Mus musculus: one gene and its partner. The protein of the gene in region 2 interacts with the protein of the main gene of each other region in a pairwise test. Links are inferred from orthologs where the notes say so. Each region holds a gene or a part of one and is shown on either strand. Other genes may lie near its edges.

Evidence for each region. The genes of interacting proteins can lie anywhere in the genome.
Region 1: the proteins of Numbl (region 2) and Spsb3 interact in binary tests that used the Homo sapiens proteins (3 or more experiments, as listed by UniProt). The two-hybrid records come from large-scale screens. The link is inferred for Mus musculus from reciprocal best matches to the Homo sapiens genes NUMBL and SPSB3.

The regions. Positions count from the first base shown.
Region 1 is NC_000083.6:24,889,654-24,892,647, reverse strand, and holds the end of Spsb3 (SPRY domain-containing SOCS box protein 3), read right to left. Parts: intron 2,366-2,994; coding exon 2,188-2,365; intron 2,081-2,187; coding exon 1,893-2,080; intron 1,816-1,892; coding exon 1,713-1,815; coding exon of another isoform or gene 1,638-1,712; coding exon 1,512-1,637; intron 1,344-1,511; coding exon of another isoform or gene 1,289-1,343; coding exon 945-1,288; 3' UTR 501-944; downstream 1-500. Other genes in the region: probable crossover junction endonuclease EME2, read left to right, coding at 1-135.
Region 2 is NC_000073.6:27,272,241-27,275,760, reverse strand, and holds part of Numbl (numb-like protein), read right to left. Parts: exon of another isoform or gene 3,350-3,520; intron 1,807-3,349; coding exon 1,617-1,806; intron 1-1,616. UniProt on the Homo sapiens protein: Plays a role in the process of neurogenesis. Required throughout embryonic neurogenesis to maintain neural progenitor cells, also called radial glial cells (RGCs), by allowing their daughter cells to choose progenitor over neuronal cell fate.

The DNA of each region.
Region 1 (2,994 bases), on a different chromosome or scaffold from region 2:
AGCCTCCTAGCTGATCTCCCTGTGAAGGCCCACAAAGGCAAGCAGCCTCGCAGAGTGGGGCCTGACCTCTCACGCAGAATCTGTATCTTCTTGACAACCACCAACCCTGACCTCCTGCTGGACCTGAGCTCTTGACCTGTGCCATCCTGGGGTCACCTCCTGCCCATCAGTACAACAGGACAAGTCTGCCTAAGAATCTAATTATTCTGAGAGGCAGGCAAGGAGGTTTGGGTCCAGCCCATACCTTTTCAGACTGTGGTAGATAGACTCTGTTGCCTGATGGTCAAATGGAAATACCATGGGAGGTGGGTGAGAGGGTAAGGGAAGCTGAGGTGAATGGAAGAGTGGAGGGTAGTGGCCACTTGGTGCAGGAGGCTTAGTAGTAGGCCTGAGTGCTGAGTTGTACTATTACATCCTCAGAGAGAGGTGCTCAGAGATCCAAGCCAAGCTCTCTCAAAGCCGCTGGACAGAGACAGATAAACAATAGACACAGGCAGCTTGGGCATTTGTGAAGGCTCTTTTAATGATATAACATAGAGGGACAAGACAAAACCCCTTCACAGGGCACCCACTGCCATCTCTGCAGCAGGAGCTGACAACATGCAGTGCAAGTCAGGAAAGCCCCACGGCCCCGTGGGTGGGGACAGCCCATCTTCTCCCCGGGATATGAATGCACTCCCCTTCGTCGGCCAGCCTCCCGGGCTTGGAATCTAGGTTCACAGGTGCCTAGCTGCAGTTCCCAAGACACGTGGCAACTCAAAGGACAAATAGGAGTACGGCTTCCCTACCAGCACAGGCAGTAGAATGACCTTCACTCCATGGTCACCGGAGAAGACTGTCCTGGCCTCAGGGAGATAGGGAAAAGCCTGGACCTCAGTTCTTCCCTCTCCTGCTGCCCTGGAAGGGCGAGAAAGAGGAAGGTATCTGCGTTCCCAGGGGAGAAGTCAGCTTCTTCGGCAGCGCTTCCTCTGACAGGGCCTGGTCTCCAGACTCTCGGCACCAGGTGTAGCTGTGCCAGGAGGGGGCACAGGGGATTTCCAGTGGTTGCAGTTCATGCTCAGAACCCAGCCCAGCTTGTTATGCAGCACTTGCTTGAGGCCAGGTGGCAAGGGCAGGCCCTCGAGGGTGTCCCCTGAATTTGGCCGCAGTTGGCGCAAGCGGTAGCAGCACAGGTACTGCAGGGATGTGGAGCTGGCGCAGGAGCGGATGACTTTCATGCTGCTCTTGGCAGCCGTGGAGCAAACCATCGGGTAGAACCTTCTGTTTTGAAGCCGAGTAGCAGCCACTCCTGGGAGGAAGGCTTAGCCTGAGTGCCATGTGGGTTGGGAGCCAGGAAGCTCCTCCTACAAGGCACCACGGTAAGCAGCTCAAATAGTCTGAACACAGAAAATACTCTGGTCTGGCCTGGTAACCCCAATCTGCTTCAGGCCTGCCCACCCTCCCTCATCTGTCAGGAGCCTCAAGTCAGACTGCCTGGCCCCACCCCTAAAGGCTCTACAAAGGTACCTCACCTATGCACTTCCTGTTCTTGAAGAATGTCAGTGTCCCATGCCAGGTGTCCAAGTGCACACCAATAATGGAGCCCTGGCCAAAGCGTGAAGAGAAGCTCGTCTTGTCACCTTTGTGGTGGAGGAGCCCTGCGAGGAGCAATGGGGTGATCCTGGGAGGTCTGCTGTACTGCCAGCCCCACCCATGACCCAGGCAACACCTACCAGTGTAGGAGAGCCCCCAGCTGTCCTCATCCCTGCCCAGCAGGCTGCAGAACGTGTGGTGGTACTTGTCCAGGTCTACATCCGACGTCCCAATGCCCACCATCTGTAAATAGTGGGCCTGGACAGTTAGATGCCTAGCGGCAGGGCCCATGGCATCTACCCTCTTGCTTGGCCATTTACCATGTCTGTGCCATACACTGGAGAGGTCATCTTGATTTCCCAGAAGTGTTGGCCATCCCCTAGCTCCTTGGTGCCCCGAATGGCTGCAGTGCCACAGCTATACTCCATGTGAAAGCTGACCTTGCGATTATCACAGCTCAGCAAGGTGGCTGAGGACTTGTTCAGGTCATCCCAGACCCAATCAAAATCTGTAAGACAGAGGGCCTAAACTAGGGAGGGCTACAGCTAAACGGTGCCTGCCTGGTCCCAGGGAACCTGCCCAGCCCTCCACACGTCCCAGCGGCAAGACACGTACCCTCATCCTCCTCACCACACCGGCAGTCCTTGCCACGGTGTGCTGTGTGCAGACTGTTGCAGAAGGTAGCCTCATTCTGGCCCTCGCAGTCACAGAAGGACTCTCCTGTCACAGGCACAGCACTGGGGATGGATGGTGGCAGGGAGGAGTACTCAGGGTCAGAGTCGGAGTCGCTGTGCTGGAAGGGAGGGAAGGGGTAGGTCACTCTGTTTATGACAAATCCCTTCTCAAATCCACCAGAGAAGCAGCCAGACACCTGGCGCTCTCCAGTGCTCAACATAATCAACCTGAGTGCTAAGACTCCAATGAGATGGGAGGTGGCCCTAGGGGAATGGCTTCTTACTTGGCTTCCTCTGCCCCATTTCCCCCCAGAAGGTCTGACTACCATAGGCCACACAGCATCCACTACCTGTCTTCCCTGGGTAGTTCATGGTCTCCTAAAGCCCAGGGCTGCTGCTGTCAACAAGGTCTAGCATCTGGCTCCACTCAGGCTAAGACATGGGATGTGTGTCTCCATCCCCTGCAAGGGCACTGGAATCAAGAGGAGCAAGCATGCTCCACAAGGTCTAATGGACTAATGCTCCAAGCTGCAGCAAACTCTTCCAAAGATGCTCTCAGGCCTCAGAACCTAGCTGGGGGTGAGGACACAGCTGAGCTGGTCAAGTTCCAGCCACTGACTGACCAATCAACTCTTGCTATTCAGCTGCTCTGCAGGCCCTTGGATCCCTGTTTTGGTGCTAGGGTTCAGGCTAGCTGACTTGACAGTCCCTGAAGTTTTGGCCTCTACTTCCTGAGCTGCCCTGCTGT
Region 2 (3,520 bases):
GTCAAGACTATCACTATTTTACAGGTATGAAAGCTGAGAGGAGGGGCTGGTGAGATGGCTCAGCGGTTAAGAGCACTAACTGCTCTTCCGGAGGTCCTGAGTTCTCAGCAACCACATGGTGGCTCACAACCATGTGTAATGAGAAACCGTTTGTTTCTCAAAAACAACAACAACAACAAGAAAGCTGAGAGGACTGACTGACGTCATCTCTGGAGTCCACCTGCCCTTCCCGGTGGTCTGATCTGTCTTTTTCTGCTTCCCCGCTTCTCCTTTTCTATTCTCTGCTATTCTGTCTCCCTCAAGGATGTCTCCCTCTCTGTGCCTTTCTCCAGCTGCGACTAGTGACGCTAGACTTGGCTTGGCTCACTTTATCCTTTCCGAATCTTTCCAATTCCTTCTAACCCCTCAGCCTGGGTTCTCTCCACCCTGGGACTGTTCCTTGCCCTCTGCAAAACCTTGGGACGCTACACTTCAAACTGCAGGCTCTTCAAGGGCAGGTTACCTTCCCTCCCACAAATACACACTGCCTGCCTTCAAACCAGAGCCTCACCACAGCGATAGCTGGGATACCTCAGCTACTCTGGGGGCTTCTATTCCATCTTCCAGCATGAGGTAACAGGCCTGGCCTGGTGCCATGGCAGCACCCTGGGACAGGCTGGAAACAGGAAATGACCTTCTTTCCCACCTCAGTGCTGTGTTACTTCAAAAGTCCCCTGCCCTCTCTGGGCTGGTGTCCCTGGGCTACCTCCCCCAGGGCTTCCTGAAAGATCAGTGCAGGCAGAACTGAGTTCAGTGTGTGCGCCAGCCTCTGCTGCCAGGCTAGGTGCGCTAATCATGAAAGATGGTGTCACTGGCTGGGAGTCAGCTGGTAGCACAATGAGTGTGAGAGTCAGTAAGGCTGACAGGCCGACCTCATGGTAAACTCCCCTCTGCCTGTGGGAACGGTGAAGGGCTTTCTCCAGCGCTGCTGGGTCTGTCCCTGGAAATCAGAACCGTTTTGCATACAGTTCCCATCGTAAACAATCCTGGCATCTGACAACAATCTTCATGCCTTTTGGAAGTTATTTAATCTTTATTTTTATTTTATGTGTGGGTGTTTTGCCTGTGCACCATGTGTGTGTGGTGTCTTGGGAGGCCAGAAAAGGGTATTGGATACCCTGGAACAGGACATAGAGATACTTGTGAGCCATTATGTGTGTGCTGAAAATCGAACCTAGGTCCAAGGGATAGAGGCTACAACAAGAACCTATTTTTTGTTTGTTTTTGAGACAGGGTCTCACTAGGTAGGCCTGGCTGTCCTGGAACTCACTCTGTAGATCGGGCTGGCCTTGAACTCACAGAGTTCCACCTGCCTCTGCCTCTGAGTGCTGGGGTTAAGGGTTTGGGACAGCACATCATCTGCTTCACTGACTTCCTGACTTAGACAACAGAATGTGTTATGGTAAGCGTCGCGTCCCCTCCACCCTCCACCCCCTCCCCCATCTGTAGAATACTAAGAATATTGAGATTTGCTCTGCAAACCTTACCAACCCTGGCCACTGGCGCCCTAAACACTCACTCCTCAGCGGGGATCCCTAGATGCACATGTGCGCCCCCTGTTGGCCCGCAGCACCCACCTTTCTTCTTGTCCCCTGCCTCGCGCTCCGCAGGCCGCCCGCCCCCCGACAGGCGGAAGGAGCCCTCACGGGCAAAGCTGGTGCGACTGGCGTCGAAGGCGGCGGTGACTCCGCATTCCTTCTCCCGTCGCTGCTTCCTCTCCAGGCAGGCGGCGAACGCGCAGCCCACAGCATGGCTCAGCCTCTCACCCTGCAGGAGAGGTGGCCTGGTTAGAAATGTTGCCCGGACATGAACGGAGGAGAGATGTGCGCCCCCTGCAGGTTGGATGTCTACAGCAAGGGGACTCCCTAAAGGCAGCGGCACATGGATCTCTTTGAGTTTGAGGCCAGCCTGGTCTACCGAGCTAGTTCCAGAAGAGCCTGGGCTACATAGTGAGACCTTGTCTCAACAAACAAAACAAAACAAAACAAAACAAAAGCCAAACCAAAAAAATGAAAAAGAAGAAAGAAACAAAACAAAACAAAACAAAACTAAGGTGTAAAGTGATAAGACTCTTAGCTGACCCTTAGTTTCTACAAGCATTTGTACACACACACACACACACACACACACACACACACACACACACACCACAAAATATAACCACATAGGTACAATGTACCTATTCTGGGAATAAAAAACACTGCTAAAGGGGCTGGTGAGATGGCTCAGTGGGTAAAAGCACCCGACTGCTCTTCCGAAGGTCCAGAGTTCAAATCCCAGCAACCACATGGTGGCTTACAACCATCCGTAATGAGATCTGATGCCCTCTTCTGGAGTGTCTGAAGACAGCTACAGTGTACTTATATATAATAAAAATAAATAAATCTTTAAAAGAAAAACACTGCTAAAAAGAAACCAAAAACTGACTACTGAAAGATACCTTGTGTTCCTAGACCAGAAGATTTAATTAGTGTAAGACACTAACATTCCCCAGAGTGACTTGCAATTAGTAAAATCTCTGTCAAAACCCAGTGCTGTCTTTGTAGAAAAGGAAAGGCCAATTTCCATGGAAAGGCCAAATTCCATGGAAATTCACATAGAATTCTGTTTGTTTTATTTGAGATAGAGTTTCTTTGTGTAGCTTTTGCTGCCCTGGAACTATGAAGACCAGGCTGGCCTTGAACTCAGAGAGATCCAACTCTTCTACTCCCAAGTGCTGGGACTAGAGGTGTGCACCACCAGAAATCTACCTGTCATATGGAATTCTGAAGGAGGTAAAATGGCAGTGCCAATCTTGAAAATAAACTGTCAGGCATGGTGCATGCCTTTAATCCCAGCACTTGGGAGCCAGAGATAGGTGGATCTCTGTGAGTTTCAGGCCAACCTGTTCTATGTAAAGAGACCTTGTCTAAACCAACAAGCAAACACAAAACAAAACCCAAAATCTATCCACATATAAAATCTATCTATATCTACATTTATATATTTCTCTCTCTCTCTCTCTCTCTCTCTCTCTCTCTCTCTATATATATATATATATATATATATATATATAAAAGGCATAGTCCCAAGTCTCCCACCTTGAACCATGCTCTGCCTCACTGTACAATTAAAATGCGCTAATTTTATGTGTTTGGCTTTTTAAATAATTAAAAAATTAAGCTGAAGAAGTTCTAAGAACTTAATTATTAATATTTTCTAAATCTGCTGGACCTGGTGCTTTATGCCCAGCATTTGTTCAAGGCTATCTTCAGCTACGTAGGGCATTTGAGGCCAGCCTGGGCTACATGAGACTCTCTTTAAAACTCAGCTTCTTGCTGAGCCCCACCAACGTGACGTTCAGGTGTTTCATGGAGGGTACCGAGCGGCCTATGGGCCTTTGGGTCCCATCCTGGAAAGCTGGTCGCAACTGTAGATGCTATTGATCAGAAGAGGGTGTTAGTGGACGGACCCTGCACTCAGTGTCCTCATTTCAAATGCA